Linked DNA regions of Diceros bicornis minor. The protein of the gene in region 1 interacts with the protein of each later gene in a pairwise test. Links are inferred from orthologs where the notes say so. Each region holds a gene or a part of one and is shown on either strand. Other genes may lie near its edges.

Evidence for each region.
Region 2: the proteins of CSDE1 (region 1) and HID1 interact in binary tests that used the Homo sapiens proteins (3 or more experiments, as listed by UniProt). The two-hybrid records come from large-scale screens. The link is inferred for Diceros bicornis minor from reciprocal best matches to the Homo sapiens genes CSDE1 and HID1.
Region 3: the proteins of CSDE1 (region 1) and C31H11orf68 interact in a two-hybrid assay, tested with the Homo sapiens proteins (2 studies listed by BioGRID and IntAct). The link is inferred for Diceros bicornis minor from reciprocal best matches to the Homo sapiens genes CSDE1 and C11orf68.

What each region holds. Positions count from the first base shown.
Region 1 is NC_080743.1:47,397,384-47,407,997, reverse strand, and holds the start of CSDE1 (cold shock domain-containing protein E1), read left to right. Parts: upstream 1-6,336; 5' UTR 6,337-6,421; intron 6,422-6,493; exon of another isoform or gene 6,494-6,517; intron 6,518-10,614. UniProt on the Homo sapiens protein: RNA-binding protein involved in translationally coupled mRNA turnover.
Region 2 is NC_080757.1:55,536,673-55,546,519, forward strand, and holds the start of HID1 (protein HID1), read right to left. Parts: upstream 5,131-9,847; 5' UTR 5,021-5,130; coding exon 4,955-5,020; intron 1-4,954. UniProt on the Homo sapiens protein: May play an important role in the development of cancers in a broad range of tissues.
Region 3 is NC_080770.1:7,364,809-7,375,021, forward strand, and holds C31H11orf68 (UPF0696 protein C11orf68 homolog), read left to right. Parts: upstream 1-6,190; 5' UTR 6,191-6,205; coding exon 6,206-6,327; intron 6,328-6,388; exon of another isoform or gene 6,389-6,735; intron 6,736-7,026; coding exon 7,027-7,783; 3' UTR 7,784-8,430; downstream 8,431-10,213. Other genes in the region: DRAP1 (dr1-associated corepressor), read right to left, coding at 3,738-3,843, 4,215-4,303, 4,541-4,655, 4,753-4,872, 5,188-5,281, 5,393-5,465, 5,703-5,744.

The DNA.
Region 1 (10,614 bases):
TGCTAATATCTGACTTCCTGATTTTTAATTCTCCCTTCATCTACCTCGTTTATTATTAGACACATTTCACTATAAGCAGTCAGATTTCATATTTTGCAGTTATTTCACTTGCAGTTGTCTCACGGCAACTTTCAGATTGAATTAAGGAGTATTATCCACTAATATTCATAGTGGAAATCAGATGATGCTTTTTCTTTTGTCACTCTCCAAGAATGCTAAAAAGGAGGCAGAACCTTCAGAGCTTTGATGAACTACAATTCACTCAACATTTTATCTAGCCTCCTAGAAATACATGTGGAATTGACGGAAATGAATTTCTGTATGTTACTGATCGTAAGATTCATTTTTCTTTCCTGTTTTAACATCTCTGAAATTGGGATATGTCTTATGCATGCAGGGGTTGTGGTGTGGTTGATTCTAAGCATAAGCACTGTTTGCATTCCTAGTGGCATGACTGGGCAAAGGCAAGCTCTTGATATTTCTGTCAATAAACTAAGGACCATTTGAGAAAGGAATACGGGTTTAGCTGTTTTCTGTGAATTTTCCATCAACACCTTCTTGTAAGATCAAGAAAGTGCCAGCATAAGAACCTGGAGTATGGCTGTATTAGTTTTCTATTGTATAACAAGTTACCACAAATTTAGCAGTTTAAAGCAACACCCATTTGTTATCTTACAGTTCTGTAGGTCAGAAGTCCATGCAGGGCTCATCTGATTAGGTTAGGCCCAACCAGAATAATCTCCCTCTTGATTAACCCAACTGATTAGAGATCTTAATTACATCTGCAGTAATCCCTTTGCCATAAAGAGATATGAGTGACACCCTCTAATATCCACAGGTCCAGCTCATGCTTAAAAGGAGGGGATTATACAAGGCATTTACACAAGGTGGTGGGAATCTTGGTGGTCATCTTAGAATTCTGCCTATCGCAATGGCTTTTAGCAGCTTGAAATAGAATCCTGGAGATAACAATGATGCATTCTTAGGAAATGCTGCATTACCAGTATTCTTTGTGGCCCAAGAATAATTCTGTGTGGAAAAACCTGCACATCTATGAGCTAAAAGGAGATTCAGCAAGATCCACCAATGTATGCTAAAATTAGTGGACTAAAGTTTAAACAGAAAAAAGATACTTGCATAGTCTCTGTGTTAGTTTCCTAGGGTTGCCATAACAAATTACCACAAACTGGATGGCTTTAAACAACAGAAATTTATTCTCTCAGTTCTGGAAGCTAGACATTTGAAATCAAGGTGTTGGCAAGGTTTGTTCCTTCTGGAGGCTCTCAGGGAGAATGTATTCCATGCTGCTCTTCTAGCTCTGGCAGTTCTTGGCATTCCTTGACTTCTAGATGCATCACTGCAATCTCTGCCTCAGTCTTCACATGGTGTTCTCCTTGTATGTCTCTGTCTGTGTCCAAATTTCCCTCTTCTAAGGACATTAGTTGTTGGATTAGGGTTTACCCTACTCCAGTATGACTTCATTTTAACTTGATTACATCTGCAAAGACCTTATTTCCAGATAAGCTCCCATTCTGAGGTTGCAGGTAGACATGACTTTTGAGAGACAATATTCAATCAAGTATGGTCCCAAAGTATCTCCCCCCAAATATTTAGTAATTATAAAGGGAAAAATAGTAATTTTACTATGAAGAATCCTGGAGGACACCACTTTAAGCAATTAAGTTAAACATCACTAATAATACACTTCAACATCATCTACCCCCTGATATGATGCAATGAGAAGGGTACATCACCTGTCACATTCTTACAAATAATGCATAACCTCAATCTAATCAAGGGAAACAGACAAAACCAAATTGAGGGATGTTTACAAAATAACTGACCAATACTGTTCCAAAGCTTCCAGGTCATGAAAGACAAGGAAAGACTGAGGAACTGTCACAGAGTGAAGGAGACTAAGGACATATAACAACTAAATGCAGCGTGGGATTCTGGATTTGATTCTGGAAGAGAAAATGGATATTAGAGAAAAAACTGGTGAACCCCAAATTAACTTTGTAATTTAGTTAATATTATTGTGTCAATGTTAACTTCCTAGTTTTGAAAATTGTTCTATGGTTAGGTAAGATTAACATAATGGGAAACTGAGTGAAGGGTTTATGGGAACTCTCTGTACTATTTTTCTAATTCTTTTGTAAGTCTAAAATTATCTCAAAACAAATATGCATTCCCCTGATTATTAATGCTGCTGAGTATAATTTCAAATGTTTATTTGCCTGTACAGGTTTTAATATAGACATTCAAGTGGTTTCCCCCATTTTTCTTTTCTTTGACTTTTTATTGATATGTATTAATTTAGTATATATTCGTGATACTAATACATTGTCAGTTTTATATGTTGCAAATATGTATTCTCCTAGTCTGTTGTTTTTTATTTATTTTTTTTGCTGCCTCTTGATGAATGGAATTTTTTAAATATGGTCAAATTTATTACTGAAAAGAAAGATGGTGATAGTGGTTCTTTTACTTTAGAAATACTTTAGAAATATCTTTTGTCAGGTGGTAACATTTGAGCTGAAACCTGAATGATGAGAAAGTGCCATATATGTGATGATTTGGGGAAAGAGCATTCCATGCAGAGGCAATAGTAAATGCAAGGGTTCTGAAGTAGGAACAAACTTGCAGTGTTGGAAGAACCAAAAGGGCAGTGGAATTGAGTCACAGTGAACCAGGGGCTAGAGACTTAGTGGGGACTAGGTCATTTAGGGCCTTGTGGGTCATGGTAAAAGAGTTTGGATTTTATTCTAAGTGCAATTGGTTTGCATCGACATCTAATTTAAGTTTATTAAAATATTCTTTTGCTCCACCCTTCCCTCCGGCTGAATCGTAGAACTAAAATGTTATGGTGATTACGTAGCATGTCCACATAATTCTTCCATTAAATGCAATGTTGATATTTTAAAGGAACGCATACAAAGCTTTTGCATTATTCTTATTTAAATAATATTTTAGGGGCCAGCCCGGTGGCGCAAGCGGTTAAGTGCGCGCCCTCCGCTGCGGCGGCCCGGGGTTCGCTGGTTCGGATCCCAGGGCCCACTGACGCGCTGCTTGGTAAGCCATGCTGTGGCAGCGTCCCATATAAAGTGGAGGAAGATAGGCACAGATGTTAGCCCAGGGCCGTCTTCCTCAGCAAAAAAAGAGGAGGATTGGCGGATGTTAGCTCAGGGCTGATCTCCTCACAAAAAATAAATAAATAAATTAATTAATTAATTAAAAAAAGGTAAAAAAAATAATAATAATATTTTATTACATAATTATTCTTATTATATTATTCTTATTTATATAATGCATTTTAACTGTTTGAGGGCTTGTAATGCAAAAAAGTTGTAGATTGTAGGGTTCTAGGACTAAATCTTAATTTTTTACATTCTACGGAAATAATTATTCTTTATAAAAGTTTGCTCTAAATTGTGTTTTCCTGTTCTGAAATCTTGAATGTAGATCCCTTTAACATCCACTATTACCATAATTTTATAAAAGAAGTTCTCTTTAACTTCCCTAAATAGGAAGGATCTAATATCAGAGAAAAAACAGTCCTTAAAATCTTGAATAAATTTAGCCTTGTTTTTAAAAAAATCTCTACATTGACCTAATTTTTCTCATTTGACAGAGAACTGACAAAAATCTTATCCATCACTGCTCAAGATAACCTTATAAATGTGTAAAGGATGCTTGCTTTTGATTCTCAAAAAGACTCCAGAGAAATGTGCTTATTGATCATTGTAGAGAAAAAAAAACACACAACCATAATCAATTTCATTGTCTATTTAAGTTTCTCAGAGAAGAAAAATAAGAATGATAAATAACCAAAAATAATATATACAATTTTTTTGTTCTGATGGTTATTCCTTAATAGACTAAATATCTTCCCAAAATCCATGACTACCCTGTTGTATAGAAGATGGTTTCCCAAATCACTTCACAAGTTTCTGCTTTAATTAACTTCAGTTTAAAAAAAATAAACATAGGGGCTGCCCCCATGGTGCAGCCTTTAAGTGCACGCGCTCCGTTGCTGGCGACCCGGGGTTTGGATCCAGGGCTTGCACCGATGCACTGCTTGTCAGTCCATGCTGTGGCGGTGTCCCATATAAAAAAGGGAGGAAGATGGGCACAGATGTTAGCCCAGGGCCAGTCTTCCTCGGCAAAAAGAGGAGGATTGGCATGGATGTTAGCTCAGGGCTGATCTTCCTCACAAAAAAAAAAAAAAAAAAAAACATAAAAAGATATCTACAGTGTTTTGTTTTTTTATTTGACTTCAAAATTAATCTGAAAAAGATTATTGCCTTAAAATGTAGTGATCTAAAAATGAAACCTACCTCTAATTATGAGTACTTGTAGAAATAAATCATTTAAACCAGTGATTTAAATCAAATTACTCCATCTTTTACTTTCTTTAATGCACTGGAAGCTAAAACGTATGCTTCTGGGTTTGTACATATTTGCATTTTGTGCTAAATGTAAATTGATACTAATTATGGATTAAGAAGGAATTTAAAGGCAATTGAGACATTCAGAATGAGGATGATAAAATGGTTATCTGATTTAAAAAGGTCTTTAGAAGCTATGTGTAATGGTAGAAATCAAGACTATTCTTTCTTATTAATAGGAACTGTATTTATAGAATTTAGTGAGACTACCATTTCTTACATTTCCCATTGCTGTGATATTTGAGAATGTGTGCTCTTAGACCTAATTCTACTTTTAGCCCAGCTTCACATGACCTTGTTTCTAGTGCAAGAGCCCAGGGCAGTTTCTCTGTGACAGCAGATTAGAACATGCAGACTAGATCTTAAATTCTCACTTGGACAAAGGAAACAAAACAGCTGGTTTGATATGTTTACATTCTGTACTTCTCCAACAGAACATTCCTATTTCTAACAACTTCTTACACTGTTGTTCAGTGCTATTCATTCAACAAGCTTTTGAGCGTTGTGTATGCCAGGCACTGTTTGGAACCAGGGATGCAAAGATGAATGTCACAGACCCTGCCCTAAAGTATCACTAGCTAGTGTAAACTAATAATTACAATAGAGTGAGCTGTTAAAGCATTGAAAGTGAAGCAAGTATCCGTGCCTAGGAAAGCGTGGGAAGGCATCAAAGAGAACAAACAGGCAGCTTGGAGGTGGTATGGGACTGGACCAAAAGCAACAGAGGTGGAAAGAAACTCGAACATCAGAAGAGGATACTGCCTCCTCTTAGAAGTCAAGACGATTTGCTCAGAATTGGAGGTTATATAGTCTCTTAACACTGTGCACCCTTCCTTCATTGCACTTATTTCAATGTGTATGTTTAGATTTGTTTTTGTGATTATTGAATGATGCTAGACTGAAAGTTCCTTGAGGACAGAACCGTGTCCGTTTGTCTTAACCAGTGTATACACCCCAGCATGACACACAGGAGATGCTGAATAAATATGTGTTCAAAGCGAAAATTAAGTGGATGGGAGAGTTCTCAGGAGCATGACTGGTCATTATTTATCCAATACTATCAAGTAAGAGAGCCAGAGAATCTGACAAAAGCATTCCTCTCACCAGAGGGGACTACTCTATTGTTTGGCAACGGATAATTCATTGAACTTTTCTGTGGCTAGAATTAACCACTTTCTTCCTTTCCTCTTATAAGCCCCGTTGGATGAATCATTCATTTGCCCTGATTTCAACCTTTTGGTTACTGATTCAGCCTCTTTGATTACCTGATACACTATGAATATCTTCTGGTAACTAGAAAGGTCAGCTGAAGGAGTTCGTTTTCGGGTTTTTTTTTTTTTTTTTTATGATTATGCTGCCTTGCTCACTGTTGTCCGTCTGCTGCAAGCAATATAGTCTCTGGGAGACACACTTAAGACTTCCAAATTACCCTGCTAAAAACCTGACTCTATACTAATGAAAATTCCAGTCTAATGGAGCAGACAAGGGAAAGACAGCGTGCGCTGTGAGAAGAAACTGGGTTTGGGAGCTTCTGGATTACCGCTGGGAAAAGAGAAAATCCTTTCTATGACATTCCTAAATATGCCCTCCAAATTGTTCGCCCTCAAGATTTACCCTGGTCTCGCCGCTTAAAGCAAATGCAGGTTTGCAAAGATCAGTGACGCCAAAGTCACCCGCCGCCCCGCCCCTTGCGTCCCAGCGGAGTCAGTAAACACCGACCTTGCTTCCGCAGCTCACAAGGGAGTGAAAAGTAGAGGAACGTACCCACCTTCCCGGTTGTGGTTAAGCGCAGCGCGCTGGTTGGCGTCACTCAACCCTCGTGCGCAAGCGTATTAGGAGTCCACCACCCCCCCGCCCCTTTCCTGTGCACGCGCTTGGAGCTCGCAACTCTCGCGAGAGAAGCGAGATTTATTCCTACGTACCGGGCCGTGCTGCTTATGGCGGCGCTGGAGAGGGGGCGCTGAGCTGTTGGGGTGAGTACGACCTCAGGGTGCAATTGGGGGTAGCAAGAAGCCAGACTAAGGGCGAATGAGAAGACCAAGACTAACGGGAGAGACTTCTGAGTCAAGGTGGGCACTCCTAGAGCTTCGGGTAGGAAACATCTCACCCTGAGTCCCTACCCTGGACTTTTCCACTCAGTCCCCGCTCAACTGCTTAGGCCTCACGTCAGGCCGCAGAGCCGAAGCGAAAAGTCGAGGCTGGCGGCCGCGTGTCGCGGTGGTGGTGGTGACTAAAGTGGGGGGAGGGAGCAAAAATGGAGGCTCCGACCGCAGCCAAGATGGAGGCAGGGGTGCGGGGCTCGGGCGCCGAGGCTGCTGGGAGTTGTAGTCTGGCTGCTTCCTCCTTTGCGGCTTGGCGGGGGAAACGGGAACTACAAGTCCCGGCGGGCGGGGCGAGGGGGTGGTGGCGCGGTCCTTTGTGTGAGGGTGGAAGAGGCAGAGGAGAGGGGCCTACTCTGACTTTGGACCCTATAGTTTCCTGTCCGTCACCTGCTTGGGGATCTGACTACGAGTACCAGAGCGCAGTGCGGTAGTGGCACCTCCTTTGTGTATAGGCAGACCCGGTTTCATCTAAGGGCTTAGAGACACGGCCTTTCCCTGGCCGCATCTGACACAGCGCGGCTGAATTGTCATCCTTACTTGCACTCACCTAAAGCTGCCTGTTTTGGGTGTCTACACCCAACCTTCCCTTTTTCGCCTCCCCTTGGTCTTGAGAAAGGGAACCAGCGCCTAATCTTAGGCATGTAGCTCTCACTCATCTGTCCTGGGGTTAGGGCGTGCTCTGAGAGCTAAGTGAAGTTCTCCTTACCACCTTCTCTGCCTCTTATGGTGTAAGAGCCTGGCCCACATTGTGCAATGAACGACTTGGCTTCGTCATTCTCTGTGGAGTTACTTTTTTAGAGCCCTGGTCCGAGATACTGTTGAGATTTTTACCATCCGATGTTTTATCAGTACGAAATCTTAGTACCACTGTTCTTTGGCTTTAAGATTTTCCTTTAGAAACACCCAGCTGGCTCCTCTCTCGACTCGCAAGTGAGGCAGGGAACGCTCCCTAAAACAGCCTTCAATCTGCAAACATAAAAATCTGAACGTTGTTGTGCGAGGTAATTTCCTTGTTTTGCACCTAAATTGAGTGAAAGGATGTGATCCTCTTTACAGTTAAGAGGACTGGGTGGAGAGGGAGGGAGGATGGTCAAAGGCACTGTGGTAGTTAAATCTGTTTCCTTTGAGAGGCTTAGTTTTTTATCAGGATGGTATGAACTGGCAGCTCTCAGCCAGAGCTACCAGTCGATAAAATCAAATAGTAGGTATCAAATTATAGCCCACTGATAGAAGTTATTCTATATCAAAACGCTGAGTAATTTTCATTTGGAGTTTCCAGAAGGCAAGCATTCTCGATACTAATTGACTACATTGAGGGGCAGTATAATAATACCTTAGTGTCCTTTTGGTACTAATACTAACCAATAATGGGTGTTCTTGGTGTGGGTAAGGAGGGGTTTTATATACATGCTTGAAAAGGCATATGCCTGAGTCAAAAAGTCTAGATAAATATTTCAACCTTGTTTCTTTTTGTTTCCTTTTAGCCCTAGGCCCGAAATAAAAGAGATGGTAGTGGTTTGAGTGATTTTGCAGCTGCTCTGGATGTTTACCATCGAGATGAGTATTTATAGCAGCTGAGTTGAAAAGTAAAGTATTTGAGGCGCAGAAGATAGGTTTTCTTTTTTTGTAAATAAGTTCTGACTTAACAGGTATGACTTTTAGAGTGTGGTTGAAAATTCTGGTAAATTTCTAGCAAATCAAAAATAAGAGTGTGAAAGCTGACATGTAGTCCTGCTTTATCCCACTCCTGTTTCCCTGCCTCCATCTGAAGACACACAGTGCAGGGCCATCCAACATTTTAAAAAATCTTTCTTTTAAATTGTGGTACATAAAATTTACCATTTTTAACTTGTTTTAAGTGTACGGTTCAGTGGCATTAAGTTCATTCACATTGTTGTGAAGACCATACTTTTGAGATGGTAGTTGAAACGTGAAAATGCTGTGGACATATTTTTAAGGAGTTGAATTTTAGGACTGTAAATAAATAAAAATCTTGATTTTGTTAAATAAACACAAAGAATTAATATGCCTTCATAGCTTTGTCTTTTCAAAAAACAAAGGGGAAACTACTTTGAGATCTTGGACTCAAACTGTCTTATGGAGAGCTGTAAAACTTTTAGGATTAATAGAGAATTAGAGTAAGAAGAATTATAACTATATTTTCTAAGGCTTAATAGCTAGAATTCACTGGTGAAACTGCTGTAGTGGGAGTGACTTGGTTTCTTGAATCCCATCATTTCTTGCTGTAAAATCCCTTCTGCCAAATCAAGATTTTAAAAAATTCCTGTCTTGATATTAGAATGTTTTCCACTTGCATGTGAGTACCTGGTTAAAAAAGAAAACAATACAAAACTTTTTTTCAGTTCATAACACCAAGCCTTAGGAATTCTTACATGTTTATACTGTGCTACATTTTTCATTAAACTAGGTATGGTATTCTAAGTATTCTGTTCAGAAGTATTGAATGGTAATTTTATTTTGGGGTCATTTTTATATTTAATAGGTTCTTTTATGCTGAGGTAAAACATTAGTGGGTAGTTGAAAATAAATTTATCAGCAGTTTCTTTACATTGAACACGTAGGCTAGCAGCTACAGCCAGTACATAACCAGTTAGTTATTTGAACTTCTGCTTCTCAAATGTAGTAAGTACAAGCTCCAGCTATAGTCAAGTGTGCTAGATACTGCCTCCTTTTATCAGTGCAAGTCTTTCCCCAAGGGCCTTATATTTACTATGCTTTATTGAGCATGCGTTTTTTCCTCATCAGTCTGTACCTGCTCCAGCCAATATGGTAGCCACTAGACATGTGTGGCTGTTGTGCGCTTGAACTGTGCACAATTCTGAATTGAAATGTGCTGTAATTGTAAGGTAAACATTGGATTTCAAGGAATGTAAAAAATCTCAATTTTTTTAGATTGAATACATGTGGAAAATGATAACATTTTGGGTATATTTGGTTAAATAAGATAACTTAATTAAAATTAGTTTCACCTGTATCTTTTCACTTTACTATGATTACTAGAAAATTGTAAAGTACATATATGGCTTGCACTGTGTTTCTTTTGGACAGTGCTAGTCTATACTATTCTCTGATTTTGTGTCTAGAGCATTTCTTCAGCTTCTTCCCACACTGGCATTTGTCCTATTTCAAAGTATTAGTGTGTGTAAACGCACTTAAGTGATGGATGGATATATAATTTTAAATATCTTAGTAGCTGTTCAGGTAATTAACAGCCCAGCACAATTGTTATTACTAAACATATACAAAAAGTTGCAGCAATTTGCTTTTCTTTTGCTTTTCTTTTATTTCTGCTCAACATGGCGATGGCTTAAATGGTTTCAAGTTGGTTAATTATCAAACTTTTATCATTTTCCTTAGATCCTAGAGTAAAAGTGAATTAAAACCTGTGAAGCACTTCAGTTATATGGGTTAAAGCAAAATGTGATATATTTGCCTCGAGTTAATGCATCAAGAAATAGGAACTAGGATGTTAAGGCAAGGATATTATTCATATAAATCAACAATAAAGAGAGAACCATTTCAGTTCCATGCTGCCTTTCTGGGTCTTTGCTCTTCTCAAAGGAAGAAGGTACTCTCTGAGGAAAGTGGGTTAAGTGGGGAGACTTTTGTAGACTGGTTTAGCCTTTCATTAACATTCTCCCCAAGTGAGTGCTGTACAAACTTTGAGAATAATTTATCAAAATGATAAAATGGAATATGTAATACATTTTAGATGGATTACTGACTACATAAATGTATTAGTTCAACATGTAGTAGTAATTTAGTGCCTACTTACACCTGACTTCTGCTACGCCTTTGAGATGAAGCGGCGAACTGGAGGAAGACAGTAAATAAAACAGGTGATGATAATTTTGAGACAGGTGAAATAAGGAGTAGCTATTTGGATCAGTTCAAGTAAAGGAATTAGCTTTAACTCCTAAAACAGCATGACTTAATAGTTGATAATTAATGGTGATACTGTTTCCATACAGAGTAAAGGAAAAAAGAGTTGATTACTTCGCAATCAGAGAGACTTTGAGATCCACGTTTAAATCGTTCCTTAG
Region 2 (9,847 bases), on another chromosome or scaffold:
CCCTCATCCCCAGCCTCCACCCTCTCCCGCACACTCAACAGATGCCAAATCTAAAGGAGCTGACCCCCATGCTCTCTGCCCGCACCTGCTCCTCTCAGTGCCCACAGTGGCAGTGGGGGCGCTGCACTTCAGGCCACTCTTGCCAGGGCCTCACCTCCACACTGGCCCCAACCCATGTTCAAAGCACAGCGCCCAAGGCACTGCTCCCTCAGCACAGACCTCTGGGGCTCCCCACTGCCTGCAGGAGCCTGAGTCCAGAGCCCAGCCAGACGGTCCGCCAAGATCTTACCTAAACACACCTACATGCATGCACACATGCACACACACACAGTTGTATTTCCTATCCCCACGACACAACCCTGCCATATCTTCTTTGCCTTTGCTCAGACTTTCCCCCTTCCCAGCATGCCCACCCCTTCTAACACATTTCAAAGTCCCACCAATCCTATTGAGACAACATGCCATAAACACACTTATGCCTTCTGAATCATACAGACAGCCATACAGGAAACCAGTTTGAATCATAAACTCCACTTCGAGAAACGCTTCCTCAGGAAAGGATCAGAGATGTGCATGTATGAGGATGTTTACTGAAGCGTTATTGTTGATAACAGTGAAAAGTTGGAGTCAACCTAAATAACCAACAATCGGGAATGCTTAAAAAGTAAGGCACATTCATGCGCTGGAATATTATGCAGCTATCAGAAGCACATTTTCAAAGAATATTAATGAATCGAAAATGCTCACAGTAAAATGCTATGTGAAAAAGACAAGATATAAAACTAACTATAGGATGATCACAATTCTGTGTAAATTACATAGTAACAAAAGCCGAGAAGAAAATGACAGCATGTTAACAGCAATTATCTCTCCCAGTAGTTTTCTTTTTCTTTATATTTTTCTGTAAGCGCATGTAGTACTATTTTTTTTCTTTGAATGTTCATCTGTTGAGGGGCCAGGGTGTCCGAGGCACTGTTACCCTTCTGAATAGCACTTTCTGCAAGAGACCTACCCAGCTTGCTCCAATCAACCCAGCCTTCTCCCTTCTCTGAAAGGCCTGATAACAGGGCCTGCTACCACCACAAATCCACACATAACGTGCACTACTCTTATCATCAGAAAAAAATACATATCTTGTTAAAAAATAATTCTGTTCTCTGAAGCTACTTCTTCAAAGAAGTTTCCCAGAGCTCTGGATTGCCGGGCTTAGAACCCTACTCTCCACCCCACTCAGTCAATCATCGTAGCCCCTGGCTCCAAGGGTCAGCGCACTTGCCTCCAGGCCCCATTAGTCCACCAGCCCCTCTGCCCTGACCTTGCAGTTAAGACATACGGCAGGGCCGGCCCCGTGGCTTAGCGGTTAAGTACACGCGCTCCGCTACTGGCGGCCCGGGTTCGGATCCCGGGCGCACGGATGCACCGCTTCTCAGGCCATGCTGAGGCCGCGTCCCACATACAGCAACTAGAAGGATGTGCAACTATGACATACAACTATCTACTGGGGCTTTGGGGGAAAAAATAAATAAATAAATAAAATTATTTAAAAAAAAAAAAAGACATACGGCAGATGCTCAGCCAATGTTTGTTCAGCTATAGGCTGTAATTAATCCTAGAGACCCCTTCAGCCTGGTCACTGGGCAGGGCTGAGCACCAGTGAGGTGCGTAAGGCTGGGGCCGAAAGCCTCACTAAGGCCCAGGTACACCCTGGCCCACTCCCCAAGCAATGCCCCCTCCGAGCTACAGGCAGCACGTGGCCATGGCCCGCAGCACAGGCCTGGCACCAGGGCCTGCTCAGTCCCAGAACTGGTAGAGCCAGTTAGCAGGGGGAAAGGAACAAAGGCCAAAGGAGGGGCCCTGGGGCTGGGGTTTGCTGGCCCTCAGGCCCACAGCCAGGACAGCCTTCAACACTCACTGGGTCCAGGGGTACCACACCCAGTGTGGGGGGCTGGGGTGGGGAAGGACATCCCAGAAAACACGCAGAGCCCCCCCAACCCTGGGAAGCTCTCATCTCTGATACTTTCCCCACCTCCCAGGTAGCCACTATCCCCTTAAAGGGGCAGAAACTTGACCGAGCACCAAGTAGACTTGACCTCGAACCTAGTTCATCAGGCAAGTGTCACCTAGGGACTGAATTTGAAACGAGGACAGAGACTTAGGAGGGAACTTAGTGGGACCAGGTTAGCCCAGCCAGGAAGCAGAGGAAAATCCCTGCTATGGGAGCTGGCCTTGAACTTCAAGAATGGCGACTTTCACCTCCCTCACCCCGAACTCGGGCCTCCCCTCCTGGTCCCACTGTGGCTCCACACTTCAATTTGGTGACCATTACCTGACCATACCAGGCTAGTCTGATGCTACAGGTATTGGCCAGGGTCACTGGAGCCCCTTAGGCTTCTGAGGGGAGGGACATGGCTTAGTTCCTGCCTCAGTTACCCCAGCTGGGCTCCACCCAACCCAAGGAAGTTTCCAAAATCTAAGCCAGTTTCTTTGAAAAGAGTATTTTTGCTGGAGGCGGCAGGCCCATGCTGCCAGGGGCATAGGGACTGAGCTATCCCCAGGGAAAACTCAGATATGCTTACCCCAGCTTTGCAGGATACGCTCAGTCCAGACCCCCCCACCAGCCTGGGGGACCAGCTGCATCTTTTGAACCTCTCTGGGGAGAGGAGGGAAGGACTAGCAGTGCTCTAGCCTGCTAAGGGTGACCTGTTCTGGAGGACCGTGTCACCACAGCATTCACACACACATACACGTGCACATGTAATGTAAACAGGGACCACCAGGCCTCCTCTGGCCCAGGGCAGAGAATCTCCAAACAGGCAGCATGGAGGAGAGGGGCCCAGGTCCAGGAATGTACCCCCTCCAGAGCCCCACCCACCCTGAGAAATGCTCAGGAAACACAGTCAAAGCTGCTGGCCCTCAGGACCAGGGTCAGGCCTAGTCCAGGGCAGGAAGAAAACAGGATGCAGAGCAGGAAGGCGGGGAAGGCCGAGCAGTGGCAGCTCAGGCCCAGGCCACGGGAAAAGGTGCTGGGTTGGCTTCTCTGCTGCCCAGAGCAAAAATCTGTGTTCACAGCACAGCCTCTGAGGGCCTGGGATTGGAGGACACCCTGGGGACAACTGGCCTCATTCTCCTTGGGGACAGCAAGTGGTAAGGTCTGGAATGACCATCTGGGATCTGGTGGTCACTTCCAAGTTGCCCGAGCCAGAGCACTACACAGTTGCCCACTACACAGAGCCCAAGGCTTCAGCCCCTGAGAGTCTCTCTCTCCAGGCAGCCCAGGCCCCCTCCCACCTGCAGGGCCCCAGTGCTCTCCGGAGGGAGATCCAGGCTGGTCTCTGGCTCCAGTCCTGTCCCAAACCAACTCATTGTCCTCAGCTGGGAAATGGGACAGCACTGTCTCAGTCAGCTCTGTCATAGGACTGCAGCCAGGGAAAGACAGAGGCACACTGTATTTTGGGGAGGGGGCTGGAGCAGGGAGGAATCTAGTCCACCCAGACCTTTTGCGACTCAGCTGAGCTAGTCCTGCTGGCCCAGCAAAGGACCCTGGCTGCTGAGCCAACAGCCCATAGCTCATTTCACTAACAAGGTGTTTCCCTCCCCAAGTAGGTAAACCTGGGAGCCTCCCCTCCCTCCTCTCCTGTGGCTCCACATTGAGAGCTGGCCCACCTGCCACCCACAGACCTAGAAGTCCAAAGAAAGCCAAGTGCCAGAACTAACCAGGAGCCATGGGGGAAGTGGCGAGAAGCAACATCTGGTTTCTATGAAACGCCTCTCAGCCGGGGCTGGACTCAGCAGAGGCCCTGGGCATTTGGGTATCTCTCGTGGGAAGGAGAGAGTGTGGTCTGGCCTCTGAAGCTATGACCAGCTGGCTGTGGGGAGATGGCTCCCTCAACCCCACTCTAACTGTCAAGAGCAAAGGGAGCTGGGGGTGGTGGGGGTGGGGGTGGGGAGTGGTAAGAGGAAGGTCCCAGATGACAGCAGGTCCTGACTCCCTTGGAAGTGAGGGATCCAGGGAGTCAGGGCTGGGCATCTCCCAGGCCAGAGCGGCCTGGTTCAAGGGGTGAGGAGAGAAGGGGTGGGCAGGGAAGCAGCCCTGCTGGGGCCATGTCCTGTGTGTTGGGGGCAAAGAAGTAGCCTCTGTGCCACTTGTGGACTGAAGGGGATGTGCAAGCATGGATTAGGCTTAAAGACACCCCTAAACCCCACACCAGCCAGTCAAGGGCAAACTGGAGGGTTCTTAGCCCTGACCTGGAGAAGAGAGGGTACCCACAAACACAGCCATCCCCACCGCTGGACCACAGAGAAGGAGCCTCCTGGAGCAGTGGTCCCCATCTGGGAAACTGGACTCCATGGGCCTAAGAACAAGTCCCCTTGCCAGGCTGCAGTGCTGTCCCCCACTCTTTGCATGTACCCAGGAAGACCTGGGCCTTCTCTGGCTGTGGGCATCAACCTGGGCCCAGACAGGCCGCTGCCGCCGCGTACCAGCTGTTTCCCGGACCCAGGCGGGCGCTGTCCCGGCTTTGTTTGCATTGAGTCAGCCGGGTCTGTGCGTCCCGGACCAGCGGGCACAGAGGGGCAGAGAGAGGGACAGGGAGGTGGCTGGGTGAGTGGGGGCGGGGAAGGCTGGAGATGCGAGGCTTAAGGGGCAGAGGGGGGCGTGCAGGACAGAGGGCGGACAGCAGCGACGTTGGCTCAGGGAGTAGGCACACGTCGGCCTAAGGTGGCAGCAGCGGCTGCGGGGAGAGGGATGTTCCCGGGAGAGGAGGCTGGGGGTGGGGGGCTAGGGGATGGAGCCCTGGGATACAGGCCAAGGGCTCCCGCTCCGGCCCTGGCTTCAGCGTCACCCTGGGGCCAGCCGGTCCCTCCAAGACCGGACAAGCCAAGTTGGCGCAGCCCCCCGGCCCTGCCCAGCCCCCAGCCCGGCAGGTGGGTGAGGAAGCCGGGGCCCCGGGCGCACCTGCGTCTTGGTGGTGAGCTGGATCACCGCCTTTCGGAAGTTCAGCTTGGAGTCGGCCGACCCCATATCGTTGGAGCCCGCTCCGGCCCCGACCCCCGCCCCAGCCCGGGCTCGGGATCCAGCTCCAGCTCCAGCTCCAGCTCCAGCTCCAGCTGCAGCTCCAGCTCCGAGGTCCCCGCTGCTCTCGCATGAGCAGAGCGGCGCACCCCGCCCGCCGGCCCAGCGTCGGCCCCGCCCTCCTGGCCCCGCCCCCGCGTGGCTCCGCCCTCCGCACCTGCCGCGCCCCGCCCAGTCCACTCCCTGCGCGGGAGTCTGCAGCTCGCGTCAAGGCAGCAGGGCACCCCCCCGCCCTTCTCGGCCGGACCCGGTGGCTCCGTGCCCTTCCTCCTGTGTCGGAGCTTTGCCTCCGCTCCATCCCTTCCATTTCCACCCAGCCCCCAGGGCCGGCAATCCCCCCACCCTCCCGCCCCTTGCCCCTATCCTCACCCTTCCTCCCGACCATCGCTGGGCCCGCAGCTTCTCAGCCAGCCCTCTCCCTCCTTGTCAATGCCTGTCCTCCTCATTCTTTTTTTTTTTTTTCTTCTGAGCATCTGCTCTCTTGGTTTCCCTTTTTCTGACCAGTCAAACCCACATGTCCAGGCAGCCTCGCTGTTATTCCAGCCACAAGCCCCGGGCTCAGCCCTCCTTTCTGTGGAAGGGAGGCGCTGACTCAGGGCCCCTGCTCCAGGAAAGCGGCTCCCTGGCCTGATGAGAACGGAAGGTCCCTCCGCGTCCTACAACTCCTTTCTGGCCGCCTGCCTTCCCTGAGAATCCTTTTAGGTCCATCCATTTCAACACATGTGTTGAGGGACTGGTATTCACCAGCGCTGTGTCAGAGACTGGGGGCCTAGGGGGCTTAAGTCACAGGGCCTGCCCTTTACAAGCAATTAGCTATGGAGAGAAACAAGGAAAGAATCAGCCATGATTCAACCCAGTGAGCCTTTGATAGAGGCTAATTAATAATAATATAATTATTATTATTATTATTATTATGTGACGGCAATACCTCTGAGGTAGGTATTATCCCCATCTTACACTCGGGGAACCTGAAGCTCAAAACAGTTAGGTTATTTGTCCAAAGTCACACAACTAGTAAGGAACAAAGCCCAAAAGGCAAATCTAACTCTGGCCCCAAAAGAGGCTGCACTTTTCCCACAACATCATCTTGCATACTATGTCTGGAAGCTTCTGGAAATCCTAGATGCTTCAAAAGTACTTGACATTTAGCTTCAATAGGAATTCCACAGGTGAAAAATGAAGCGTGCACCATCTAGGCAGCAAAAGGGTGGCACAAAGGCAGGGTAGGACAGGTGTAGAGGTAGGGAAGAGGGGGACAGAGATTTCACCACGTCACCAAAGGAGCTCTGTCCTTGCTCCAGAGGTAGGTTTTCCCTGCCCTGGATGAAATCCTGGGCAGGCTCCATGGCTTCTCTAATCACTCTGAGATAACGAATGAATAGTACTTTTATTTGGCATTAAAAAACAAAAAATCCAACACTCTACAAATCACCCAACCCCAGTCCAACCCAGAGTGACATTAAAAACTCTGAATCTTAAACATTAGGGAGATGCAAATTCAAACCACAAAATGATAACCATTACATACCTATTAGAATGGGTTAAAAAAAATAAAACCTGAAAGTACCAGATACTGGCAAGGACGGGGAGCATTTATACTTTCTTATGAAGTTAAATATACAATTACCATATGACTCAGTAATCCCACTCGTGGTATTTACCCAGGAGAAATGAAGACATATATCCACACAGAAAGCCTGTGTAATGCTTATAGCAATTTCATTCATAATCACCAAAAACTGGAAACAACCCAAATGTCCATCATCTGGTAAATAAACAGATTGTGGTTCATCCATACAAGAGGACTAATACTCAGCAACAAAAAGGAAGAAACTATTGATATACGCAGCAACAGTGTGAATGAATCTCAAAAGCATTGTGCCAGACACAGAAGGCAACATACTGTATTTTATCATTTATGTGATATTCTGGAAAAGGCAAAACAATGGGGCAGGAAACAGGTCAGTGGTGGCCATGGGCTGGGATCAAGATGAGGGGATGGATTATGAAAGGGTACGAGGAAACTGTTTGGGGTGATGAAAACATTCTGTGTTTTGATTGCAGTAGTAGTTCCATAACTATATGTTTGTCAAAGCTCATGTAACAGTATACCTAAAATGGGTGAATTTTACTGTATGTAAATTATAGCTCAATAAACTTGACTTTGGAAAAAAACAAAAACCAAGAGCAGGTGCTAACTGGCCATTCCAAAGGAGTAATTCTGAGCCCTTTGTTCTTGCCCATCACTCATAGCCATTTCTGTGATTTGCAACCAGAAACTCCAAGTGGTCCCAAAATATTACCGGTCCCTCATGGACCTTGCTTTCCATCAGCTTTCATGGGATGAATTTAAACGAGTCCATTCATCCTCATCCAACCTCAAGAGGTCTGCTCCCATTCATTGGGCATTCAGCTCCTCGGAAAATCTTAGTGTCCGTCTCCAGGAAATCTTACAAGATCCCTGTGCCCTCTCTCCACCATAGTAGGGAAAAAATATTAACATTGTCTTGAGGAATGTGACCACTAACACTTCTAGGTGGAAAAATACCCATTTATCCCCACCATTTGTTTACTGTCTCTAAGTTAAACTTAACATCCTCCCTGATTCACAAATGATGTTTTCAAAATGCTGTTAGTTATTTTTCGGTGAGGCATACTGAAGTGTGTAGAGGGAAAATGGCCTAATGACTGGGATTTGCTTTAAAATACTACAGCAAAGAAAACAAGAAAAAGACATACAGGCGAGATGAAGCAAATGTGGCAGAATCCTGGTAACTGTTGAATCTGCATTGGGTATGTGCAGATTCATTGTACTATTCTCTCTACTTTTGTGTGCACTTGAAAACTTTTTTTTTTTAAAGGTAAATGCTTTTTTTTTTTTTGAGGAAGATTGGCCCTGAGCTAACATTTGTTGCTAATCTTCCTCTTTTTCTTTTTTCTCCCCAAAGCCCCAGTACATAGTTGTATATCCTAGTTGTAGGTCCTTCTAGTTCTATGTAGACCGCCGCCTCAACATGGCTTGATGAGCGGTGAACATGCCCATGCCCAGGATCCAAACCTGCAAACCCAGGGCCACCAAAGTGGAATGCACAAACTTAACTGCTGTGCCACCGGGCCGGCCCCCTGCACTTGAAAACTTTTATAGTAAAAATTTTTAAGGAAAAAGACTGGATATATACAAAAAAAAAATTAGTAGTAAAATATAGCTTTTGAAAGTTTAAAGAAATTACTTATCCCTTATTACTTTGATGATTTCCTAGTAGGTTTTTAGCTATGATTTACCATATGGAAACTATGCTGTGTCCTCCTTTTATGCCCAGCATAAAGGAAGAGTCGCCAGTCCGTGGCTCCCATGGCCCTCCCTGGAGCCCTTTTTTCTGAGTTCAACCACCAATCATGCAACAAACATTGACTCAGCACCTACCAAGGGCCAGGTACCTTGCACAGTGCTAGGACCTGAGCTAGAAAGGCAAGTTCCTACTGCTGAGAATGAGGGAGACATATAGGGCAACGACACAGGCAAGAGAGTTATGGGGTTGAGGGTGCGAGTGAGTCTGTCCAGGGCCATGGTGGGAACACGGGAGGAAAGACTGGACAGAGTAGGGGAGGCTGCACTGAGGTTTGGAGGATGACTGAGAGTATCAGTCAGGGTCCCAACAGGAAAGAGATGGAAGATTCAGACACAGCAACTAAAGAGAGTTTAATCAAGGAGAAGGGAAACCAACAAGGGCTGTGAAGCACTCTGGGGCTAGAAGCCGCGGGGAGCCTCAGCCATCCTTAAGCCTGAAGGCGCAAGGGGAGGAATGGTTGCCAGAACCCGGAGAAAAAGAGCCGGGTAGGAGAGAGCCGGTGGGGTCTGGAAGGGAGGGAGCTGTGGGGTAGATACCCCACCTCCACTCTTCTCCTGCCCCCCGATTTTCTGCTGATACTTCCCATCAGTGGGCCCACAGACAGCAAGAGAGCAAGGGAGCCCATTGATGCAGCCCACAAAAGCTTCAGCCTCCTGGGCGCGGAGCAGATGGAGAAGATGGAAAGCGATCTGAAAGGGCAAATGGAACATGTCCAACATCCAGGTAGGGGGAGCAAGCGGAAGGAAGGCCCAGAAGCTTGGTACGTCCAGAGAACAGAAACACCTAGCTAGGGTGACACGTAGAGAATCAGAGATAAAGCTTGAGAGGTGTGCTAGGACCAGACCATAAAGGACAGAATACATGCTGTTTAAGGAGATTTTATCTTATTCTATGAGCAATGAGGAGCCTTTGAAGCAGGGGAATAATGTTGTCGAATATCATTATGTCTTAACAAAGTCATTCTAGCCGTGACAGGGAAGACGCAGTGACCTGAACACTGGGAATCCAGCTGGGAGGTGAGAGATGATGAGGGCTGAACCGAGGCAGTCATGGGTGGGATGGAAAGGAAGGATGCAGGTGATGTTGGCGAGGTGGAATCTTGGAATTTGGTTGTCGGTTTGATGTGTGTTCTAGGTACTATTGCTGTGTAACAACCTCCCCACCAAACTTAGTATGAAACAATAACCATTTTTTTTAATAATTTTATTTATTTATTTTCCCCCAAAGCCCCAGTATACAGTCGTATGTCATAGCTGCACATCCTTCTAGTTGCCGTATGTGGGACTCGGCCTCAGCATGGCCGGAGAAGCGGTGCGTCGGCGCGCGCCCGGGATCTGAACCCAGGCCGCCAGCAGCAGAGCGCGTGCACTTAACCTCTAAGCCATGGGGCGGGCCCAATAACCATTTTATCGTAAATTCCATGGTT
Region 3 (10,213 bases), on another chromosome or scaffold:
CCGGGCCTTTGCCCTCACTGTCCCCTCTCCCTGGAGCCCTCTCCCCACAGAGAGCTGTGTGGCCCTCCCACTCCTCGCTTAATGGGGTTTTCTACTCAAATCTCACCTTATCAGAGAGTCTCCCCTGAACCCCGTATAGAATGGCTGGGGCCGCCCGGGACTCCTCACTCCCCCCTAGTGTGCTTTCTTTTCCCCAGAGCACGTATCACTATTTGACATACCATTTATCTTCTTCTTTTTTCTTTTTGATGAGGCACATTGGCCCTGAGCTAACATCCTTTGCCAATCCTCCTCTTTTTGCTTGAGAAAGATGGTCCCTGAGCTAATATCTGTGCCCATCTTCCTCTATTTTGTCTATGGGACGCCACCACAGCATGGCTTGATGAACAGCGTGTGAGTCCATGCAAACCCCAGGCCGACGAAGCAGAGGGCACGAACTTAACACTATGCCACCGGGCTGGCCCTGCATTTATCTCTTTTATTGTCTGTCTCTCCACTTTAGAAATAAACTCCAGGAACATTTTGTTCACATAATCGCCACTACCTGGAATAGTGTCTAGTGTGCAATAGCTTCTCAATAGATGGATAAAATAAATACAATTTTTATGAGGCTATCATAAAAGTGCATGCATCTTAAGTGTGCAGCTTAATACATTTTTATATACAACCACCACCCAGTTCAAGCTGTGGAACACTTCCAGAAGGCTGCTTCCCAGTCAACTCCCACCCCGAGGTAACCATTATACTGAATTCCATCACCATCGATTAATTTCACCTGTCCCTGAACTTGATTTAAATGAATTACGTCACGGTGTGTGCTCTTTGTGTTTGGCTTCGTTTGCTCAACATAAGGTCTCCAAGATTCACCCACGATGTTGCGTGTAACAGTGGTTCGCCCTTTTTCATTGTTCTGTTGTACAATACCCTACCATTTATTCGTGCTCTTGTTGACAGGCATTTGGGTTGTTTCCAGTGGGAGGCTGTGGCCATTCTTGTACGTGTCTTTTGGTGGACGTATGCCTAGGAGCAGCACTGCTGTGTCACAGGGAAGTACGTGTTAATAGACTCAAGGAGAAACCGCCCCACTGTTTTCTAACACGGTTGCACCTCGTGACGTTCCCACCAGCACTGAGGTCTGGCCTTGCCACCTCCTCTCCGCACTTGGCGATCTCAGACTTTTTCATTTCAGGCTTCTGGTGGGTGATTGTGGCAACTCATTTCCCTGCTGAGGGACGATGTTGGGTGCCCAATAAGCATTTGCTGAATGAATCCTTAGGGGGACTATGGAGGGAGACTCTCCTCTTGGCAGGGATGGGTGGGCCCATACCCTTCACCTGAAGGTCTCAGTCTCTGGATGCTACACTGGCCTCAGAAGCTGCTTCCCATTCTACCCACTGGTCACACTTACACCCCAGGGTACAGCCAAGGCCAGGCTGAGGCATTCAGACAGGACCTGGCCCGAGGCTCAAGGCTCCTCAGTGGATAGAGAATAAACAAAGAAAACCTTCTGGTTCCCAGGTAGAGCTCTGCAGATGGGGTACTGACAGGCTTCCCTCCCGGTGCCCAGTGGTGCCCACGGGCAGGGCAGAACCATCTTTCCCGACTCCCAGGAAGCACCCAGGGGCCTGGCCCAGCCAGAAGCACCGTCTCCCTGGGGCCCCTAACCTCTGACTCAGGAGGCTGCACTCCTAACACTTGGTGAAAGCTGGGTCAGGTCCTCCCTAACGGCCTATGAGGTCCTATGGCCGAAACTGGCTGGTCGGTCACTCAGGTTGGCTAGAGGACCTTCCCCAGCCTCCCTCAGGTGGGTCCTGTGGCAGTTCCAGTGGGAGGTGAACAAAGGTGATGGGGCCACTTCTAGTCCTGGCCCAGAAAAACCTCCATAGGCTCTGAGCTTTCCCCTTCCTCAGTGATCCTGAAAGTCATAGGTTGAGGATGGTGGAGCCACAAGATGGAAGGAGCCTGGGCCCTGGCGTCCCTCTTGCAGAAGCACCACCCACTAATCAGATAAATCCCAATATAAACCTTATATGAGCAAGAAAATTCCTCTGCACTTGAGCCTAAACAGTTTGAGTTTTACATCAGGCCCTTGCCTTAACTAATAGGTATAACTAGTATATACAGCATAGCATGTATAACTATAGGTAATAACTAGTCCCATTTACAGATGGAAAAACTGAGACATCGAGAAGCTACAGAACTTGTTTGAGGCCAGTAAGTGCAGAAGCTAGGATTTAAACCCGGGGCCTGGCTCCAGAAGTTCCACTCGTAAGCACCCTGCCAAGGGTGAGCCAACAGGCTGAGAATGCAGAGGCAGAGGCCAGGGGCTCCTGGGCATCTCCCACCCCCACCCACACCTCCTCGAGCCTCTGCCTAGATGAAAGGGGCTACTCCCTGCACCGTGGCCTCCTGGCCTTCCCCAATCGTCCTCCTCACTCTCACCCAGCCTCCTCACTCTGAACCTTCTCAGTTCAGGATCTCACCCTTTGGACAGAGCCCAGCAACAGGCTCCCAGGCTCTCTTCCTCTCTTACCCCAGCTCCTCACCCCCACTAGCATGCCCTCAGCTCTGTGGACCCCAGGAGTCTGCCTCCCCTGGGACTGCACACGACTTGCTGCTAGAGAAAACTACCTCCCGCTTCCGGGCCGATGGGAACCCCTCCCATTCACGGTCCCTGTCAGCCGCAGCTTCTTCAGTTACCAGTGACAGAAACCCAACTGGCTTCCGGCAGGGAAAAATGTTTATTGGCTCACAGGACTAAGAAGTCTGAGGTATACAGGCTTCCGGCAAGACCGGGTCCAGGTGTTCAGATGTCACCAGAAATCTGGGCCTCTGAGCCTCCTGGCTCCGCTGTGCTGGTTTTGTTCGCAGTCAGGATCACCACTTGTGGCTTCCAGTTGCGTCTGGCCTACATTCCACCAGCTTCGCTACCCAGTGTGGCAGCCATCATCCTTGCTTGGACTCCTAGAGGGTCCCTGCTGCCACCCGAGCCATGGGAAAGCCAGCAACCTTGTCAAAACCGGTCCCCAAAGGTCCCACCTTAAGTCCCAGGGCTTGAGCGTCCTGGCTGATTAGCCGGCTGGAATCACAACCCACCTGCACCACTCACAGTGGCCACAGCCGGTGTGGTGCTGTGTCACTGCTCTCTCGTGAGCCAGCCTTCAAGGCCCTCCACAATCTCGCCCACCTCTGCTCCCAGTGCCCCTTCTCACACCCTTCGTGGCACCTGGCCCAAGTTCTAGTTTTCAAGACCTGTTCTGTTACCTGTCGCATCTATCCCTCTGCAGCAGCCTAGCAGGGACAGAATGGTCTCCATCAGAGAGATGCGAGGAGGCTGCTCAGAGAAGGGTAGGAACCTGCCCAGGGTCACACAGCACGATGAAACAGGTTGTCTCCCGGCATAATGGGTACCTGCTGGCTCAGGCCCTACACCACCCTGCCCGCCTTCCTTCCCTCAGCACCACTGGGCCTGCCCTGGCATAACTGTGACGTAAAGCCCCTCCCTTCACTCTGCTGCTGCCTGGCCCACCACCACTCCTGGCCCCAGCTCAGTGTGGAGAAGGCAGGTGAAAAGATGGCAAGGTGGCCACAAAGCCCTAGACAGAGGCTGGGACAAACACTGGCATTCCCTTTTATTTCTTTTTTTTAATAAATTTAAGAACAGTTCTACCTTCTCTCTTCCCCCCAGAACAACCAAAACCAACTAAAAAGGGGTGTGGCCTGGGGGGCAGAGGGCGCTAGGAGTCATAATCCTCTTCATCCTCTGCATCAGGTGCTGAGGGGCCTGGGGGCACTGGGGGCAGAGGCAGAGTTGAGGCAAAGGGCATGAAGGGTGTCGGGGGGCTGCTAGGCAGAAAACAGGAGAGGAAGGTCAGGCCACTGCTCATTCCTGACCCCTAAGCCACCCCCTGCCCTCCACACGGGCAGCATGGAGCCCACCGCCCTCGGTACCAATAGGGAGCCAAGCCCAGAGAAGGGAAGGGCCCAAAGCAGGTCACACAGTCCCTGCCCAGGCCCCATCCACTGCCCCGCCCAAGAGTGGAAGGGACCTTCGGAGAGCACAGTCTCCTACCTTTAAGCCCTCCTCAGTTTCTCCCTTCCCATGCCCCAAATCTGCCACAACCAATAGATCCAAGTGGTCATGGAGGCCAGGAGGGACAAGTCAGCCTTGGGGAGTCTGCTGGCCCTTTCCTGGCGCCCACTGAGCTGCTTACCTCTGTAAGTGGGCGGGGGGGTGGCTGGCCTGGGGTGGGGCCTGCGGTGTGTCCTCTTCCCCATCGGTGTCTGTGTCCTCAGACTCATCCTGGTAGCAAGGTAGGGATGAGAAGTGACATGAAAGGCATGGACTCATCACTGGAAAGCACAAACCCCTGAGAGTAGCAGGGACAGGAGGGTGACCTCCATAGTCCCAATTTATAAACAACAAAACCAAGGTACAAAGAGATAAGAGGTGAGGATGGAACCAGGCTCCAGCCAGCCCGGCCTGAGACAAGCCTGCCCTCTGCACACTACGAGACAGAGGGCTGGGGGCCTCACTCACCTCCTGCTCCGAGTCTGTCCCCGACAGCTTCTTATCCTTGCCTTTGCTTCCCATCCCACCGTTCTTCCGGCCACTGCTGCCTGGCTTCCGGCCCCTTCGAGAAGGTACAGTCCATCTGCCCAGAGGTCACCCCCCCATTCATCACCCCCCAGCCACCCCCAACCCTGGTGGCCTTGGCCTTCTCCACCTGCACACTGGCCCTCGGTCCCCACCTGCGGGCACTCTTGTCCCCATCCATGTGGTTGTCTTCCCCGTCCCCCTGCATGTCAGGCACAGATGCCACCAGGTCCTTTAAGAAGTCAAACTGCTGCTCCAGCTCAATGCACTGTTTCCTGGAAGAGATGGGGAGGGGATGACACTCAGGTGGGGCCCAGATGTCTGGGTCCTCAGCAAGGGACAGTAAGAGGCTCTGGATGTCAGGAGAACAGAGCCTGGAAAGCCTCCACCCCATCTCCACCACCCGACCTCCCCCGCTTTGCTGGAACACCCAACTCCTCCTCCCCCAGTTCAAACCCACCAGTCTTGGAGGCCTGGCTGGTTTCCCAGCAGCCTCCCACCTCCCTCACTATAAGAACGCAGCCGCCCCTAACTGTGTGAACTCCTGGGGCACGGCCCCACTCAGCCCTCTCAGCTCCGCAGCCACTCACAGGTGGGATGTGGTCATGGTCTTGGCATTTCGGGACTGGGTCACCTGGCAGGCCTTCTTCAATAGCGACTCCAGGAAGAGCTCGAGTGCCCGGGCTGAGGGGTGTCAAGGAGAACGCAGCTAGGGGGGTCCCCAGCCCACACAGGCGACCCCGGGCTGCCTCCCTCTCCCACGTCCCTCAACCCAACCAGCCCCCAACAGGATACAGATGATGACAGGCACAGCCGCCGCCACCTTCCCAATCTCTTCGTCTGTCTGCATGATCTTCTTGATCCGCGCCTGGGGAAGGGAGAGAGCTCGGACCCCGTGGCCTCCGACCCAGAAAGGGGTGCTGGGGGCGAGCGAGGGGGGTATCCCAGGAGAAGGGGGGAGGGGGGCACGGACGCGGGGAGGGCACGGAAGGGGGCGGGGCGTCCGGGCCCCCGAACAGCGCGAAGCGCCCGCCCCCCCAGCGGGGCCTGGGCACAAGCCTCACGAGAGCCCGGCCGCTCCTCCCGGGCCCGGCCACGTGCTCACCGGCGGGAACCGGGCGTTGTACTTCTTCTTCTTGCTCGGCATCTCGGGGACTCTCTCGCCGCGCCGGGCCCAGCGCCGCCGCCCGCAGCCTCCCGGCCCCGGGGCCTGCTCGCCGCCCGCCCGCCGCGGTTCCCCCGGGTCCTGGCGCCGCCTGCTCCGCCCCTGCCGCTCCCCACGGGGTCCTAGCGCCGCCAGTCAAGACGCCGCTCCCAGGGCTCGAGTGCCCTCCCCTTATAGCCTCCCGGGCGGTGCACGTCGGTCCGGGACAGGGCCGCCACTCCCACCCGCGCCCAAGGCCAGGAGAGCGAACGTTAGCCCCGCCCACGCAGGCCCGCCCCTCCCCGGGCTCCCTGACGGCCCCGCCCCCGGGGTCAGCCCCGCCCCCACCTGCCCCGCCCCTTCCCTCGTCGGCCCCGCCCCGCGGCGCGGCCGATCCGGCCCGGGGGCCCCGCCCCGCGCTGCGCTTGTCTATAAAGTTGTTGTTGAGGCGGCGAGGCGCTAAGATGGCGGCGGCGGCGGCAGCCGTGGCGGGGGCGGGGCGCGGCGGCGGCGGCGGCGCGGAGCCCCGGCAGGAGCGGAGCCGGGCCCGGGGCTGGGCCGGCGCCGAGCGCAGCGAAGGCCGGAGGTGACGGCTGGGCGGCGGGAGGGGGCAGGGCCGGGCGGGAGCGTAGCTCGGGCCGTGGGCGCTAATGGCGGCGGGCGCGGCTGGCCGGCGGCTGGCCCTCCCGCAGGTTCCCACCAGCCTGGGTTCGAGTCCGGGCACCGCCCCACTGGCCTCGGACCCGTCACAGCCCTTTCTGGGCTTCAATGTCCTGGTTTTTAAATAGGCCCGATGACACCCCCCCGGGAGGCCTGGCCCTGCAGGGCCTGCCCCAGTGCTGCGCGATTGCGCGCCTGTCTTCCTCCCTCCATTAAATCCCGGCGCTCGGGGACCTGCCAGTGACTGGCAGGGCCAGGAGGTGTGGCTGGGCCGGCTGCTTCCACACCTGAATGCACATTATGGCCCTGTCACTCTCTACAGGTGTGACCTTGGGTAAGTCCCTTCTCTCTGAGCTTCAGTTTCCTATCTGTAAGTCAGGGACAGTAGTGATAACATTAGCAACAACACTTACGTAGCTCGTGTTCCGCGTCAGGCATTTAATTCTCAACAGCTCTACAAGGCAGGAACAGTTGTTACTTATTTTAAAGATGAAGCAACAGAGGAACGGTGACATTAAGTCTTGCCCAAAGCCACACAGCTTAGTTTAGTGCCTAGCACCCTTCTAGGGCCCAGTAAGCTGTAGATCTGTCTTGGACCTGCCCTAACTCGGTTCCCTCGCTTCAGGATGGAGCCAGGTGAGGAGCTGGAGGAGGAGGACTCTCCAGGCGGCCGGGAGGATGGCTTCACTGCTGAGCATCTGGCCGCGGAGGCCATGGCAGCTGACATGGACCCCTGGTTGGTGTTTGATGCCCGCACCACACCTGCCTCAGAGCTGGATGCCTGGTTGGCCAAGTACCCGCCATCCCAAGTTACCCGCTATGGCGACCCTGGCTCGCCCAACTCGGAGCCCGTGGGCTGGATTGCAGCATATGGGCAGGGCTACGTCCCCAATTCAGGCGACGTGCAGGGCCTGCAGGCAGCCTGGGAAGCTCTGCAGACCAGCGGGCGGCCCATCACGCCAGGTACCCTGCGCCAGCTGGCCATCACCCACCACGTGCTCTCGGGCAAGTGGCTGATGCACCTGGCACCTGGCTTCAAGCTGGACCACGCCTGGGCCGGCATTGCCCGGGCCGTGGTCGAGGGCCGGCTTCAGGTGGCCAAGGTGAGCCCACGGGCCAGGGAGGGTGGGCGCCAGGTCATCTGTGTTTACACGGACGACTTCACGGACCGCTTGGGTGTGCTGGAGGCCGATGCAGCCATCCGTGCAGCAGGCATTAAGTGCCTGCTCACCTACAAGCCTGACGTCTACACCTACCTGGGCATCTACCGGGCCAACCGCTGGCACCTCTGCCCCACGCTCTATGAGAGCCGTTTCCAGCTGGGGGGCAGTGCCCGCGGCTCCCGTGTGCTGGACCGCGCCAACAACGTGGAACTGACCTAGTAGGGCCAAGTAGGGGAGACCACTCTCTGCCCTCCCTGCCAGGGATGGATCCTCCCGTCTTCCTTGTCCCAAGGAGGCCAAGTCCCCCAGCTCTGAGGACTAGGTCACTCGGGAACTGTCTGCATCTTCAATCCCCTTGAACTTCTGCCCTCTGTTCAGGGCTGACTCAAGTCCCCACCGGCTGGAGGCTCTGGCTCCCTGGAGGCTCTGGCTCCCTGAGGGCCGGACCCTCAGCCTCTCTTTTCGCTGCTGCTCCCCTCTGCCATCGAGGACCGCAGGCTGGGTGCAGACCCCCAGGAGGAGAGCCTTCCTTGGCTGCCCTCATCCCTGGCTGTACCTCCCCCCTCTCCTGCATCTTCCCCTTTTTCTCTTCCTCCCTCACAAGAGAAAAGACTTAGGGCTTCCAGTCTCTCTCCTTGGAGCCTTCACAGACCAGCAGGCAGAGGCCCTGCAGGCCTGAGCATGCCATTTTGTTGGGGGGATGAGTGTGCCCACTCAGCCCTGGGCAGAGAGAGAAGATGCCCGGGCCATGGACATGGGGCCTGTCCCTCCCTGCCCCCTCACAGCCTGCACCACCTTTCTCCCTTCCTTCACTACCTTGTCATGTGCCTGCTCCTGGCATTTCAATAAAACCCAGATTGGGTCTGTGTCTTGAGTGTTTTTTAAAATACTGTGTTGGTGGTTACTTGCTTTGGTTGCTGGAGAGACGCAGGGCCAGGAGAGACTGCCCCTTTGCTCTGATGGGGCCCCCCTAACATCCCCCAATAATAAGATACTCCTCACTGCCAAGCTTGAGAGGGGCTGGCCCCGTGGCTTAGCGGTTGAGTGCGCGTGCTCCGCTACTGGCAGCCCAGGTTCGGATCCCGGGCGCACACCGACCCACTGCTTGTTGGGCCATGCTGTGGCCGCGTTCCACATACGGCAACTAGCAGGATGTGCAACTATAAAATACAACTATCTCCTGGGGCTTTGGGGAGAAAAAGGGAAAAAAAAGGAGGAGGATCGGCAATAGATGTTAGCTGAGGGCTGGTCTTTCTCAGCAAAAAGAGGAGGACTGGCATGGATGTTAGCTCAGGGCTGATCTTCCTCACCAAAAAAAAAAAAAAAAAAGCCTGAGAACTTCTCTGAGAGCCTCTGCAAAGCCAGCCCTGCTTCCCCTCCATCCTAAGAATCAGAATCAGTTTCTCAGTGATTTCCCATAAATCCAGGGGCTCAACCCAGCAAAGTCCGAGGGGCCACTACTAACCTACAGGGTGTATTGGCGCCTGTTAGAGAAAGGTATCCTCTTGGTCTAGAAGTTCTGGGCCAGGGCACACGGTCTGGTGAGCAGCAGATAGGCTGGATTTCCGAAATCTAGGCTGGACATCCTTGTGCAGTGAACAACCTGCACAACCATAAGTGACCCTGGAAGCTTTCCTGTTTATACTCACCTCTCCCACCACCCTAATCATCACGGGCCACAGAACGTTTGCAAAGCACTTCCTTATGCATTATTTAATCACAACCTCTTTAAAAGGAGATGTTGGTCCCATTCTGTGGTCAAGGAAATTGAGGCCAAGAGGGGAAGGGAATTCCCTCAGAGTCGTGGTGAGTCGGGCAGAGCTAGGCCTTGCACCCCGGTCCCTGCCTCCTCCTCAGGCAGAGTGTGGTCCCTGGCTTCACCCACAGGGAGCTCCAGGCACATTCCCTCACGTGATCTCACTGGGCCACCCCGATCAGCTGAGGCTGCTGCAGCCTCGGAGCCTGGCTCTGCACCCCCCAACCCCGTGCCTGGCCCTGGCCTTGGTTGGAGGCCAGGGTGTCTGGCAGGGAGCCCCTTAGGACACTGCTCTCGTGCCGTGCCGGAGCTGACTCATCCTCCAGCAGCCTCACCAAATTGGAATTTGGAGCAGGGGAGCGGAGATGCCACTGGGCTGACTGGGTGGAAGTGGGTGAGTCATGAGATGCTGGCTCAGCCCCCTCCCCAGCTTCCTCCCCACCCTGAGCTTCCCCAGGGCTGAGTCCCCCCTAAACCCAGCCCTGGGAAGTCCCCAGAGCTGAGTGGTCTCCCCTTGGAGCCTGGTGCCCTGCCTCCCCCAGCCTGTCAGTGCTCTACACTTGACCAAAGTGCGCCAAGGCTTGTGGGGGATCCTGGGAAGGCCCTCATGGGTCCCCCAAAGATGCCCAAGGGGTGTCAACACCGCCTGGTTCTCCTTCCATAACTAAGCGTTTGACACGCTCATCCCTTCTCCAGCCTCATGGCCCTGCTTTAGCCCATTCCTCACTCTCTCTTCACCAAACCATTGCACTTGCCTGCTCTGCCCGCTTCCCCTCCCACTTCCCCCCTGTGCCCCCACAGCCAGCTCTCCCGCAGAGCTGCCTCTGTCCCTCTCCTACTCAAAGCCCTCCTGTGGCTCCCCACAGTCTGCAATAGAGTCTGCTTTCCTGAGC